2 linked regions of the Tamandua tetradactyla genome follow. The protein of the gene in region 2 interacts with the protein of the main gene of each other region in a biochemical or structural test. Links are inferred from orthologs where the notes say so. Each region holds a gene or a part of one and is shown on either strand. Other genes may lie near its edges.

Region 1 (7,896 bases), on a different chromosome or scaffold from region 2:
AGCCCAGCTCTCTTAAGCAGCTTAGCAAAAGCTCTGCTGACTCAAGCCCAAGAGCCTGGAAAACTGTGGAGGGGGGAAGGGGAACAACTTTGACCCCACTCTTGGTTGATGTCCAAAAGGGGGAAATCTTAGCAAGCTGAGGGAACCCCCTCAAAGATCATCTAGGCCAGCCCAGGTTCTGAGCTTCCCTCACCTTGGCCCCCACAGAGAAAAGCACAGGCCGAGCCAGGGTGAAGGTGTGGCAGGGACAGTAGGGGGTGGGGGGTTGTTCTCAGGCCCAGGAGGGAAACCAGGAACAACGAGGGGCATGGCCTGCTCTTGTAGCAGCAACTTCAAGTGCTCTGCTAGGAGAGGCCCTAGCAACAAATAGGAAGGAGAGGCACAGTGGGGGGTGGGGGTGCACAAAGCACATCTTCCCCTGGCTGCCCATCCCCCGGAAATCACTCTCTAGGCCCCTGGGCCATCTTCTATTCCTCTGGGACAGGAAGAGGAAGTGAATGTAAAGTCATTCGCCTCTTCCCAAGCGTGGGGCAGACCCCGCCAGCAAGTTCTGCTGACAGCCTGGGGCCCAGCGGGGGTGGGGTGGGACACAAAGCTTGGGGCAGGGTCAATCACAGCTTGGAGGGTAAAGGAAGGGGGACGGAAGTAGGGAGCCCCTCCTCCTACTGATTTTCATAGAAAGTTAGCACTAGTCTAAAGATGTAGAGAAAAGGTACAGGGCCTAGGGAGAGGCGTGGGAGAGGTGGAAGCAGAGTTCTAGTTGTCCAACTTCCAGCCCCTGGTAAGGCTCCCCTTTTTCCCCTCACTCTCCAGCTTTTCACTGGGGAACAACCTTTGCAGTCTGACTTCATTCTCTTCTACTGTAAATTCGATATACCAAGCCCTCTGTCCTTACAGGAAATGAAGATTGGGGGACACCCATGGCTCAGAATACCACAGCCACTCCCTCCCTTCTGCCAGGGAGTGATGAGGATTGGGACCCAGGGTCAGGCCAGAATAAAGGGCAAAGAGACTGAGGGCTAAAACCACAACTGTTCCCTTCCCCTCAGCCACAAATAGCTCCCTAAGCTGGATTCTGGGTTTGATAATCCAGGAACTGCTAACCTCAGGCCAGTGTGATTAGGGTCAGAAGAGACAAGGGGGTGCCAAGGCAGAGAGCCCTGAGAGCATTCTCATCCCCTGGGGTTCTCAGCTTCTGCAGAGGAAAGGGCTCCCATGAAGCCACTTCCCCTACTCACAGCCCACAGATGCCCCATCTCTGAGGGCTATGAATTTCCCCCCAGATTAGGTGACTTCGTGGGATGTGGGCAGGAAGCCCTTTGAAGTTGCAAAACATCCCCAGGACTCGGGTCAGACAGACCTCCTGACATCGTCTAAAATTCTGCCCCAGAGTTAAGCTGAATCTTCAAAGATGCTGTTACCAACTGGGCTGCAATTGACACCGACGTCAGCCTGGTTTTCCAGCAGTGCCTACTTGGGCAAAGGAGCTCAGCACTCCAGGGGCCCAGTCAAGAATGGCCGCTATCTGGCTCAGACAGGAGGGAGCTGGGCCCTCAGGGGCCCAGGTGCACAAGCCCAGGCATGTCATCATGGCCCTTCCACAGATGCTGCACTTGCAGCTCCAGGCTGCAGGGCTCAGGTCCTCTCCAGCACCTGCACTCCATCCCCACAGGGAGGGACCCCTGGCCCCACCCTCTGACAGAGGGAGCCAGATCCACTGCCTGTCTGAATGCCACCCAATCTTCAAAGTTCAACCACCAACTCTGCCATGAGGCTTCCTAGTGACTTGTTCCTCTGTTTTGAATGCCTACTTGCCTGCCTCCAGGCAGCAGCTCTGCTGAGCCCTCAGGCTTGTAGGTAAAAAGGTCCTATTTACAGAGCACTTACAGCATGCCAAGCACTGTGCAGAGCATTCGATTTTCATAACCCTATGAAGTAGGAGCCACTATCCCCATTTTGCAGATGTAGAAACATGCTCAGAGGGGTGAAGTTACTTGCCCAAGGTTACACAGCCAGTGACATGGCAAAGCTGTAACACACCCAAGCTGTCCAGCTCAGAGACTTCATAGTGGAGACCCTCCCCGCAGCTCCATGAGTGCCTCAGGTAGAAGACAGAACCTGCTCCTCGCTGGAGGGGGGGGCGGGGGGGGGGGGGAGGCAGGAACCCACTCCGTGGTAGGGACGGGGGCCAACCCACGGAAGCGTCCTGCTCAGTTCTGCTCCAGGCCAGGGGGATGCCGCCGGGGCCCCAGCCTTCCTACACGATCTCCGGCGAGGGTTCTGCTGTCAGGAAGCCCTTGGTGGTCTCGATTTTTTCAGGGGCGGGGACTGGGGACAGGCCCCAAAGGGCTCTTGAGGACTGCATGGGTAAGGGGCTATGGTTGCAACTGTTGCCCCACCTCCATCACGAGAAAGGGAATAGGACTCTCAAAAAAAGAAAGCGGTGGGGAAGAAATAAACATTTAAAAGAGAGAAGGGACTCCCAGGGTAATCAAGGGAAGTGGAGACAGTGGAACCTCAGGCTTGGAGCCATAAGGAAGAGGCATAAAGGTAGGGGAGGGGGACGCGGAGGGGCACCGGGTGCGGGAAAGGGGGCCGGGGCTCCGTGCGCCGTCAGGGCCCTGCTGCCCGCGCGCTCTCGCGCCCGCGGGCGGCGCTCCCTCGCCGGCGCTCACCGCCAGTGATCCGCTGCAGCCCCAGCACGTCCTCCGGCCCGATCGGCTGCTTCCTCTGCAACGGCCCTGGCCGGGGCCTGGGGCCCGCCTCCAGCTCTGACTCAGATCCGGATTCGGATTCCGCCGGCGGCTTTGGCTCGGCCTTGGGCTCCACGTTTGGGCCCGAAGCCCCACGAGCCGGTTCCGCCTCCGTCCCGGCGCCGCCGCCGCCCTTCTTCACCTTCATGGCCTCGCAGGCCCGCGGCTCCTACTGCCGCCACCGCTGCCTGCGCCGGCTGGAGCCGGGGAAGGGGAGCGACCGCAACCCCGCCCCCGGCCGGGGCCCCAGGTACCGCTCCGCCCCTCCACCGGGGTGGGCCCCAACCCAACCCCGCCCACCCGCCGCAGCCCGGCGGAAAGGGGGCGGCGCGGCGGATCGACGCTCTCCCTGGGCTTCATTCTTTCGGTAGATGTTTCAGGGGGTTCTCCCTACAGCTCCTGGCTGTGCGCCAGTCACTCTGCCCTTGACCCATCAAGCTCGTCCCAGCCTTCGGGGTCTTTGCCTGCGACGCTCTTCTCCTATATGGTCTCTTCTTGTCCACTTGGTCCCAGCTCAAATGCCATCTGCTCAAAGGCCCCCAGCAGTCCCACTTTTAAGTACACCCTTCCCCCCCACCCCAGCTGCTATCTGATCAGCCTGTTTTTTCTTTCTAGTACAGTTACCTGAAGTTATTTTAACTTGCTCCCCGACCCTTCTCCCTAAAAGATCAACTCTGTGAAAGCAGAACCTGTCTGCTTCATTCCCCATATACCCCCAGCCTCAAGCAGTGTCCAGAAAAGCCAGTGCTCTATAAATTTGCTTTTTACTAACTGATGAATTAATATTTGTTAGTACTCACTGATTCTCTCCCAGAGCCTTTGCTAAGATGCAGAAATAGCTGCAGCAGCCTTGTTGGACAACCCAGTATGCACAGAGAGATAACAACCCAGGTGTCCTGCCCTACAGAACAGAGACAGGCAAAGCACATGGCCAGGTGGAGGTGAGGCAGGCCTGTGAACCCAGGAGGGTAGATACCAGGAAACGGTCACTTACACGTGATTGAAAGAATTCAAAGTATACCCATCCTTCACATGATTCTAATTCATATTCAACCAATGTTTATTGAGAGCCTAGTATGAGCCAGATACCTTTATATGCTTTACCTCGTTCAATCCTCATAACCACCTAGTGAAAGAGGTATCATTAGTGCCATTTAACAGGCAAAGAACTGAGGCTCAGAGAGATTAAGTGGCTTATCAAAAGCTCCACAGATGACAAGTGCAGAAGAAAGGATTTAAACTCAGGCCTATTTAATTCCAAGTCCAGAACTTTTCTCACTGTACCACACTGCCTTTCTAAGTGGGTGAATGGAATCTCTCCCACACACACAGCACTAGGTCCTGAGCTGCTTGCTGTCTTCTGGACTCTTATCTGGCTGTACCAAGAGGCATGGCCAGCCAGGCGGGAGGGGAGGAGGCCCCAGAAGTGACCTATGCCTGGCCCTTCCATCACAGCAGTGCTGGGGCTCTCCCGGAGGGATCAGAGAGAAGTGTTGAGTCGGGGGATCCAACCCAGGAACCCAGGGCTTTCCCCTAACATTGCCTTCTTGGTAGGAGAGGAATGTGCCATGTTGAGAAACAGGACAGAGTCACAAGCTGCCCCTGGCCTAGAAAGAAGTCAGCAGGGGCCTTCAAGTTCAAGTCAGATATGGAGACCCAGATGATGCCACTTTTTGAGGAGTGGGGTGATGGGGGAAAATGGAGCCCAGGAAATGGGACAAGAGGAGAGGTGAACCCATCCTGGAGTGCTGTACTTTGGTTGTTGGAGAGGCAGTGGAGGCGGCTAGAGACAAACAAGTCGTCCTGGCAGGCTCCCTTTATAAGTCTCTCAATCAAACACCTCCCACCCTGGCCAGAAAAGAAGAGTCCCTACTGAGATGTTGTCCTGCTCAGTCTATCTTCTCAGGCTTCTTCCAGGACTTGCGTGTCTCTAAGAAGATCTTGGCCAGGGACAGGAGGATGGGCACAGCCATGGGCAGGAAGAGTGGGATGTAGATTGCAAACTTCTGGTCATCAGGGAAATAAAGGAGATGGAGGAGTGAGGGGTCAAAAAAGGCACGCTCTGAGGATGTCACAGCTTCCTGGCTGGCAGTGAAGGCAGAGGCCAGGTGTCCAGCGGCCAACTCCTCTGTCGCTTTCTGGACTGCAGCTACCGCTCTGTACACCTAGAAATAGGAGCATTTCAGTGGAAAGTGTGCCTTCTGTCTACCAGGGCCTACAGTTTGCATAAGGTATGTGAAAGGTTATGGGGGTATTTTCTTAGAGGCAGTGGAGGAGGCTAGAGACGAACAAGTCATTCCGGGCAAGCCCCATTTATGTGCCTCTCAATCAAACACCTCCTTCCCTGCTCAAAATCTCATACTCCCATTTCATCTCCTGCTGTGGAGCTGGTACTGCCCACTGAGGCACTTAAGGATGGCAGGCCCACACATGCCCTGGTGGTATGTGAGAACTGGCTCTCTTTGGTCTCACCACACACTGGCCCTCGCTGGATTCTGAGGCCACAAAGTCCACCCCATGCCCATTTACCTCAGATGCCACATCATCCTTGATAACAATGTTGCTGATCTTGCCCAGAAGCTGGGCCAGGGAGGTGAGGGTGGTGGTGGCCGTGGCTAGGTTCTCCACTGATCGAGCCCAGAGCAGCCGGTCCAGCTCCCACGTCATTAGCCCTTCACTCCTCGGCCCAGAAAGCAGACATTTCAGAGGCACCTGGGGCTGAGCAATCCCAAAGAGCAGCCTGCAGGAAGAGAAAAGTAAGATCAAGATGGCTGATACGAGAAAGTGGTAGAAGGCAGCTAAGATTCCTCAAATATCTGCCCCAAAGCCAGATTCTTGACCTTACTCAGAACCACAGGGCTTATGGGGAAGTGCCTCAGGGTCTGGGTCTGGGGAGTCAGCAGCAAAACCCAGGAATCAGAGCCCTAAATCCTACTTCAACCAGTGTTTCCACTTTTACCTATTTCTATATATGAATTTCCAAGATCTTACTTGAAAAAGGTTCCATGGCTAAAAAATATCTGATCAAGTATACTGATTTAGTTTAATCCCCTCACCCTCTCTACCCTCTCTTTGGACAAACGGGCCCCTGGGACTTAGAGATAAGGGATGATCCAGGGCCACCTATGACAAGGCTTGGGTGCAGTGCCTCTCTAATTCTGCACCCAGGGTAGACACTGCTAATCGATCAGAAGAATACTCTTTCTTGATGAACTCAGAAACAACCGTAGAATCCATCGATCACTCAGTACAAGAATTAACAGCTGTTTCCTCAAGCACCCCTAATCACACCTCATGGACCTGACATTCATGAGTCTACCTTTCTTAAAAGGGAGCTTGTCCCACAACTAGACCTTCTTAGGAAAAGGAAGATGCAATCTTTGGAAACCTCTCCGAGCAAGGTATTCCTGCCAGGTGAGATTTCATTCTGATCTGAAATTCCCACCCTCTACAGTCAAGGAGATTGTCGCTAGACTCTCAGTGGCATGCCCCCAAGTGGATCACCCGGGACCTTACCGCAACTGAGCCAGGAACACCTCCATTACCCGCACCATGTCTACCTCCACTCTCACCGGCAGCCCTGAGGCATTGTAGGCTTTGGGGTCTACGTTGTATATCTGAAAGGAGGGATGAGGTTGCCACACCATCACGCCAGGAATGTGCACAGTTCTGCCCCAGACACCCCTGGCGACCATGTGCAGAGCTGTGCACAGAGAAAGGAAGGACAGTCTCTGTCCTTTAGAAGCTACAGCTAACACTTACTGGGAGCTTTACATAAATTATCTCAATTATCCCCTCAAAAGACCTGTAAAATGATATTTTTATCTCATTTTAGAGTTTTCACCTATGAAGAACTCCTAGTCTAAAGTTGGGAGACAAAAATTCCCAACTTTGCAAGCCTCCCACACATAGGGCCAAGATTAAAAATGTATACAAAGGGCAGGCCGCGGCGGCTCAGTGGCAGAGTTCTTGCCTGCCATGCTGGAGACCCGGGTTCAATTCCCAGTGCCTGCCCATGTTTAAAAAAAAAATGTACACAGAATAGTCCTAAGTAAGTGCAAAAGGTCATATTACATAAAACACTGACAGAGATAAGAAACAGTGGGGCAGGTTGAGGAAGGGAATGAGCACAGAGCACCTCACTGCCTTGGTGCCTATAGCTGGTGCCTCCCCCTCCTCCACCAACAGAAGGAAGAGTCTCAGGGAACATCTCTCTGTCACTGAAGCTTGAGTTCTGGGGTATGCAGTGTGACTATTACCATAATGCCACCCCAGCGGGGGCTGTGGAAGGCATTGGTGGCCACCAGAGCCCCGTCCTTGTCCTGAATGTAGAGGGGAGAGTGGGCAAGCTCAGGCACGTAGAGTAAAAAGTTGAGCACAGGGTAAAGAGAAGCAGCGCTGGATCCTGTGGCACAGAGAGAAGGGTAGACAGAACACCAAAACACAATGGACCTAGCTTAGTTCCAGATCAGCCTCTAATGTGCCAGTCACTCACTTCGGGCCTCAGTTTCCCAACTGCCCATCTCTACCATACCCTCCAGTCTTGGGTTTCTGTGGCAAAGGACCTCTGAACACTCTCCCAAGGTCTGCCACAAGGAAAGACTGCAGTCCTTATTCCCAAAAGGCCCCAGAAATCCCCCCACCTCTAAGAGGCGCCCTTGATTGTCTAAACCAGCTCTCTCGGCAAGTGCCACACTGTATCCATATTGCTAGAGCTAGATTTATGCACAAGTATAGCTCTGATCTTCATGTCAGTTCCCTGCTTAATATTCTTCAATGGCTAGTCATTAATTTTGGGTTAAAATTCAAACTCCCTAATGGGGTCCTTTATGATCTGGTGCCTGGTTGCCTTGCCAGAGCCTAACCTTTGGTCACTCCCTCACAGCTCAGCCACACTCAACTACTCTGAACTTCCCTTTTCCTGAAAGCCTCTTCTATCTCTGTAGTCATCACTGCCATGAAGCAGTCCCTCAGCCAATGTTTGTTGAATGAATGAATGGAGAAAGATTTTGCCATTCAAGTGCTGCCCTTCCACGCCCCTTGGTCCACACTGGCCTACCTCTAGTGTCTGGAATCCCACCATTAGCAACAGACTCAGTCTTGTTTGCCTGCATGACAGCTCTTGGGCCCACCTTGTTCACAC
Region 2 (7,228 bases):
GGTTAGGGCATTCTAGGCACAAGGAGCTATAACAGCAAATAAGCAAATACCAGGGAGCAGCCCCGTTGGCCTATTTATGAAATTTCCTGACCCTTTTGCTGCCGAGTAGGTGCAAATGAATGGGTTAGCTTGCCAGTGGGAGAAGCACCCTAGTCTCTCCTTCCAACAAGAAGGAGACTTGTTGGAGCGGGTGGAAGTGGGCAGGCCCTGGGCTCAGCTGCCTGGGCAAGTGACTCCAGTCCAAAAACTTTGGGGTGATAAGAGGATCTCTCCTGGAGCCCAGCCTTAACCCTTTGATTATCCACCCTTCCCCCCAGCATCCATGCTTGCTTCTACCCTGGATCCTTCCCACCAGCTGACAAAGTCACTGTTTCTCTCATCACAGAAAAGGCCAACAAAACCCTGTCTTGATTCCTCTTCCCTCTAGCTATTCTTTTACTCCCTTCTCTTTCCAGTGGATCTCCTGGAAGAAAAAAAAAAACAGGAGTCAATGTTCACCCAGTCTCCAACTTCTGTCCTCTTGCTCTTTCCAGAACCTACTCCCATTGGGCTTTTGCTCCCACAGTTCCCCAAACTGCTCTTGCCATGGCCAGACCCAGTGATGTCCACACTGCTTTCCAATGGCTGGTCAGTTCTCGTGTGCCCCTCGGAGTGGCCCCCTCCCTCCTCCAGACTCTGTCCTGTCCTGCCCTTGCTCAGGCGCTTGCCTTCACCTGGTTCTCACCTCCCTGGCCTCTGGATGCAAGTGCACTTCAGTCTTCTTCTCGGTCTGTCCTTCCTCCCTGGGTCAGCTCATCCAGGATCATGACTTCAAATACCATCTTTATGCTGATGACTCCCCAATCTATACCTCAGGCCCACCCACTCCCCTGGACACTGGTCCATAAAGACAGCTGCCTCCTGACATTGCTAGGATGGCACAGAGGTACTCACAGGGCCAAAGCTGAGCTTTCAGCCCAATCCTTCCTTCCCCACTCCAGGGTTTCTCTATCTCAGCAAGTGGCTCCTCATTCTTCTAATTGCTCAGGCCAGAAATGTGAGTCAGGCTTGACTTTGTTCTCTTTCACACCCACATCCAACCCAGCGGCAATTCCTGCTGGCCCTCCTGTCAAAATGCCTCTCCACTTCCATCACCTCACTGCTTCCATCCCGGTCCCAGCTGCCATCTAACCTTGCCTGCATTATCTTTAAATGCCCCCTAACTGGATTTCCTGCTACTGTCCTTGCATCCCATTATCATCAAAGTAGAAACTGAGAACAATCCTTTCAAGGCCAAAGTCAGATCATACCTTCCTGCACAAAACCCTGCCGTGGTTCCCTTCAACACTTACAGCAGAAGCCAAGAACCCAAAGGCACTCCATGGGGTAGTTCTCCCAGCCCACCCCTTCACCTCCTTGACCTAATCTTCTAGGACCTTCCACCTTGTTCACTTTTCAGCCACACTGCCCTCCCTGGCATCCTCTGGAACACACCAGCTGAGCTCCACCTCCAAGGCCTGTGCAGCTTCTCCAGATACCCTCCGGGTCACAACTTTCTTTACTCAACCCCCACTCTCCCCATGTAGCCTTTCTTGGCCACCTGATTTTAAACTGCTTTCTTCTCCATGCATACTAGATTTCACTTCTTTGTTTTATCATCTTTTGCCAGGAATGACATAACCCCCAGGAGGGCAGAAGTTCCCGTTGGGCTGTTTTACCCCAGCAACCAGGACAGCACCTAGCACAGAATAGGTGCTCCATTAATACCTGAGTAAATTCTCTGTGCCCTTCTCGGGCTTTTCCCTCCCTCAAAAAAAAAACACGGCGTGAGCATTCTTTTTTTTTTAAGCTATCAGCGCACATAAACGTCTGCTTTCGCCTGCTCCGGGAGCTCCGGGGAGGGACCGGCCCAGTTCGCGGATCGCAGGCTCCGTAGGGGGCCTGGCACCGAGGAGGGGGAACGAAGTCAGCGCCTGCTAACGCCTCTCGGCAGGTAGCGGGGCCCCACGGCCTGCAAGGCCCGCGACCAAGGGCCACCGAGGGGACAGGCAGCTGGGCCCGCGCGCACCTCCCCTGGGACCTGAAGGCGGGGCCCGAGCCCCCGGGACTCTGAACTCGAGGGCAGGGCCGGGGCCTGACACCCTCGGACAGGGGGGAGGAGGTCGGAGCCGGGGAGGACAGCGGCCCCGAGCTCGGGCCAGACCGCCAGATGGCGGCGTCCGAGTCACCTCCCGGCCCCAGGTTCCCCAGCATCTGCGACACCGGGTCCCGCCGCTCCGCTTTTAGGCCCACACCTCTGGCCTGTGGAATGGGGCACCCCCCTCCGCCCGTGCAGGTGGTACGGCCTTCTCCCGGCCCCCGCTGGAAGCGATTGGTAGGGCCCACGTGCGTGACGCACACCGGGCAGTTGGCGCCGGCCACCCGGCCGTGCACCCCGCGCCCGATAGGGGGCGCCTGCCCGTCGTGGGTGGGGGCCCTCGGTACCCTCGCAGCTCCCGCGTCCGGGAGGATACAGCATGAGCAGTCGCAGCTCCCGCTCTTTCTGCTTCATCTTCTTCAGAATGGTCAGAAGCCCCATGGTCTTAGGAGCCCCCTCCCGGCAGCCGTTTCTTCCTTAGTCCCGGGAGCCCCGCATCATGCTCCTATTGGCCATCACGCCCACCGACGGCACAGCCTATTGGCCAGTCCTCGCTTGGTCCCGCCCACGCTCTCACGTGACCTCGGAGGGAAGCCGGTGGGGGGGCTTCTGAGTGGGCGCCAGCTTTAACCCTTCGCGTTCCGTTCCTGTCTCCGTAGGGCCGTACGGAAACCCCGGGTTGGATCTTGGTTGGGTGGGGGAGTAACAGCAAAGGGCTGTGACCCGCTGAGTACCCAGAAGTCAGAACCGTGAGGCCCAGGGTGTTGACCGGCTCATCCTGGGGCCTGCAGAAGGCCCTGTTCTCCCGGCTCCGGGTCCGGATCCTTCATTCTGCCGGTGCCGGAGCAGAGGATTGGGCCTCCCTCCTCCTGGGCTCTTGGAATCGGAGAGGGTGGGCCGTCGGGTCTTAATCGGGGGTCGATATTGCCCCCTAGGGGCCTTTTCCAAATGTCTAGTAGTCTTTGGGTTGTCCCAGCGCCGGGGGAGTGTCTCTGGCGTTTGGAGGGCGGCGGGGCGGGGATACCAAGCGTCCCGTGGTGCTGGGAACAGACCCGGCCGAGGAAGAATTGTTCCTCTCCAGATGCCGGCAGCTTTGCTTTTGAGAAGCACAATCCCTCCTTTTGCAGATGTCAAAGTTGAGACCCGAATGGTGGTTAGCACGGTGGCTGGCTGACAGTAGGTGCTCAGTAAATGTTTACGGTGGAATGAATGACTTTGTCTAAGAGTCTTAGCACTCAAGAGGGCCAGCAAAATTGAGGACACTGAGGCCAGGGACCCAGCAGATTGTCGACTGGGATGGAGGAGCCTTATGGTCTTCTTTTGAGCTCTCCCCCCAGCCGGCTACTGGGGCAGTGTGAGCAAGTAGCCCAGCCCCGCCTTATGCTTGGGAAGGAATCTTCAGGCCCCAGCCCAAGGTAACTCCATTCGCAATGCGCTCCATTTGCCTTGAGAGGGCTTGCTCCTTTTTGTAGATGTGCTAATGGAGTCCAAAGAGTTTAGGAAGCTTGGACGCGTGGAAAAAAAATTGCACGGGACAACGTGAGGTTATTTAAGTGCTATAGCAGGGGAGAAAGTAGAACTCAGCTCCTTGGAACTAAGGACAGTCACAGGTGCAGTCAACTGACTGATGATTTAATTAACCAGCCTTCTGGTTTATCAGCCAGCCATGAAATATCCTTACAGTAACGGTCAGGCCAGTGCTTGCCTAACTAGACACCTGGGCATCATCACCTGGTCAGGCTGACACCTGAACCTAAACATCACACCCAGGAAATCAGAATTGAACTACATTGCAGCTGGTGATTGAACCTCCTGCAGTCTTTATAGTCACAAATAGGTTGAAACCTGAAATTGCCTGTATTTGACCGTTGTGACTACAACATGTCAGTTTCAGTAGAATGAATCAAAGAGAAAAACATGGCCAACTTTCCCCACGCAGTGTTTGCCAGAAGGTTGATTTCCATATTTACGTGATGTGTGTACCTCTAGCTGTGGGTCACGGCCTCAAAGCCTGAAAATCATTGCAGCGTGACAGTTAACCTGGGGGTAGGGTTGAGAATAAAGTTATGACCTTAATCGCTTCCAGATTGCTTTTCTTTGCTACTGGTGGCATTGAAATCCTTGTTTAAATGTCAGGCTCAAAGTCCTGCCCTCCAACAAGCAGATGTAGCTGCTTCCCAGGGAACACACCATAGGGTTTCAGTGAACATCAATGGAAAAAGCCACCTGCAAGCTCTGTGAAACCAGGAAGGCTGTCTTGAGCTTCTGGTTACTAATTGCCTGTAGGTTGATATTTATCAGGGGAGGTGGAGGGGCTTTTAAGGACGAGAATGGAGCCCTGCGGTGTGGTGGTTCCACAGGAGGCTAGGGGTGGAATTGCCATATGATCCTGAAACCCCTTTGCTCAGTATGTCCCTGGAAGAACTGAAGGTGGGGACATTTGCACACTGGTGTTTCTGACGGCAGTGTTTGTGATTTGCAAAGGGTGGACGTGGCCTAAGAGTACAACAGTTGAGGAATGGAAAGGAATCTGTGGTGTACACACACAACAGGACGGAATGAAGTTGTGAGGCATGCAACTAAGTGTATGAATGTTAAGGACAGTATGTTGAATGAAATGTCAAGAACAAAAAGACAAATATTATCATGCCTCACTCATGATATAGATTAACTATAATATACAAATTCAGTGAATTGAAGTTGGGAGCATGGGTTATCAGGTTGGGGCCTAGGTTGTGAGCTCTTACAGTAGCCACATCCATTCTGGAGTTTTAATTGTTATTTCTAAATCCTAAAATACTAAGCTGTTTGTGTATAACCTGGTCCTTCCCAGAAATTTTGGGTATTTATGTGACACTTGAGACTCAGAGTTAGAGCTCTGAAGCTATGAAAGTCAGCAGTACCCCATACTGTTTAAAAGTTGAAAAAGGGATCAGGCTTTGAGTAGAGATATGAATGAAGCTAATCTGAACAAGACTAAGGTAAATCAGGATACAGGGTACAGGATGATATCATCCATGTTTTAAAACTTCAACTTCTGTGTGCAACCAAAGGGAGATATGTTTATTTGTTGCAAAATTTTTATTTTGGGTAGTGTATTATCTAATTTAACCTGTATGGTCAGTTTATTTGACCACCATAATTACATGGAATCTTGAATAGGGCATGAGGTCTTGTTGGTTGGTGCAGGTTAGTGCAGGTTAGTCCATATATCCCAAAGTAATGTGGACAAAGAATGAAAAAGCATTTGCAAAGTTCCCTTGGGGAACTGGGGAGAAAGGAGAAAATAGTCAGTTTCCACATCTGGGGAATTATTGATATTCTCACAAGCAGTGAGGAAGACCAATCAATTTAATAGACTGAGCCCTTAATCTTGGGCTTCACCCCTAAGAAACTTATTCCTGCAAAGAAGAAGCTAGGCCTACTTGTAATTATGCCTTAAAGTCACCCCAGAGAACCTCTTTTGTTGCTCAGATGTGACCTCTCTCTCTCTAAGCCAACTTGGCAAGTGAACTCACTGCCCTTCCCCCTACAGGGGCATGACTCCCAGGTGTACAGATATCCCTGGCAACATGGGACAGAACTCCTGGAATGAGCCAGGACCCGGCATGATGGGATTGAGAAAGGCTTCTTGACCAAAAGGGGGAAGAGCAAAATGAGACAAAATAAAGTTTCAGAGGCTGAGAGATTTCGTACAGAGTTGAGAGGTTATCCTGGAGGTTATTCTTTTGTATTCTTATGATTGAATAACGATATTGTTTTTACAGTGTGATTGTGTGATTGTGAAACCTTGTGTCTGATGCTCCCTTTATCCAGGGCATTTATAGATGAGTAAAAAAATAAATAATGGGGGGGGAATAAAGGGGTAAAAAAATTGCATAGATTGAAACGCTAGTGGCCAATGAGAGAGGGGAATGGGATATATGAGTTTTTCTTTTTTCTTTTTATTTCTTTTTCTGGAGTGCTGCAGATGTTCTAAAAAACGATCATGGTGATGAATAAACATCTATGTTATGATATTGTGAGCCACTGATTGTATACTATGGATGGACTGTAAGTGTGTAAAACTTTCTCAATAAAAATATAAAAAGTAAAATAAAACACTGTCACAGGCAGTGTTTTTCTTGTCCTCTTGAGAAGAAGAAAAAAATTCAAAGAAATAAAATCTTTGGGGAATACCTTTGGAAGACAACTGGGAAAGAAGATATATAGAGCTGTAATTATATAATAACGTATAACTCTGTGTGTGTATGTATGTGTGTGTGTGTGTGTATATATATATATATATATATATAATTTTTCTCCCACAAAACAGAATCTTGAAATGAAAATACCCAAATCCTGACAGCTATGAAGCCTGCTTTTGAAGGAGGAACTTTTGTGAGCTATGTGGGCTCCAACTTGAGGATAGAATTCTGGGCATCTTTTTATAAGGCATGCTTTAGCCATTGTCTGTGGAGAACAATTTGGCATTATAGTTTTAATTTAAAAAGTGATAGCCTTTTTGATCCAGCCAATCCACTCCATAGATCACCTTTATAGTCAACAAGGAAAAACCCCAAAACCCTTTTGTCCGGCGGAAAAAAACAAAAGCCAGGGAGAAGACCCAAGTTAAATATAATTGCTGATTGTTAAGCATTAGCAAGAAGTTTGTATATATATATATAAAAAAATTCTTTGGTGTATATATATACCAAAGAATTTTTTTTACACTTTCTCTAAAAGGAATTTTCTATTTGAGTCTTTCAAACTAAAATGATCACATTTGGTTGCTTAAAATAAAGTTAGTTCATTTTTATTAAATTTTAATATAGTAACCCTTATAACGTTTCCCATTTTTAAAAACTTTTTTATTTGGAGCAGGCCATGGTGGCTCAATGGCAAGAATTCTCGCCTGCCATGCCGGAGTCCCGGGTTCCATTCCTGGTACCTGCCCATGCAAAAAACAAACACAAACAAACAAACAAACAAATGAAAAAACCTTTTTATTTTTGAATAAGTTCAACCTACAGGCCAGTTGCTAAAGTAATATAAAACCTGTGCAGAGAACTCCAACATATTCCCATCCAGATATCCACATCCACATTTTGCCACATTTGCCATATCATTCTT

Evidence for each region. The genes of interacting proteins can lie anywhere in the genome.
Region 1: the proteins of ARL2 (region 2) and UNC119 form a complex in vitro, tested with the Homo sapiens proteins (2 studies listed by BioGRID and IntAct, with this or other methods). The link is inferred for Tamandua tetradactyla from reciprocal best matches to the Homo sapiens genes ARL2 and UNC119.

The regions. Positions count from the first base shown.
Region 1 is NC_135332.1:51,779,793-51,787,688, forward strand, and holds the start of UNC119 (protein unc-119 homolog A), read right to left. Parts: upstream 3,014-7,896; 5' UTR 2,902-3,013; coding exon 2,676-2,901; intron 1-2,675. Other genes in the region: GPI-anchor transamidase component PIGS, read right to left, coding at 4,643-4,918, 5,283-5,493, 6,270-6,370, 7,013-7,158. UniProt on the Homo sapiens protein: Involved in synaptic functions in photoreceptor cells, the signal transduction in immune cells as a Src family kinase activator, endosome recycling, the uptake of bacteria and endocytosis, protein trafficking in sensory neurons and as lipid-binding chaperone with specificity for a diverse subset of myristoylated proteins.
Region 2 is NC_135335.1:9,561,781-9,569,008, forward strand, and holds the start of ARL2 (ADP-ribosylation factor-like protein 2), read right to left. Parts: upstream 3,016-7,228; 5' UTR 2,558-3,015; coding exon 2,493-2,557; intron 1-2,492. UniProt on the Homo sapiens protein: Small GTP-binding protein which cycles between an inactive GDP-bound and an active GTP-bound form, and the rate of cycling is regulated by guanine nucleotide exchange factors (GEF) and GTPase-activating proteins (GAP).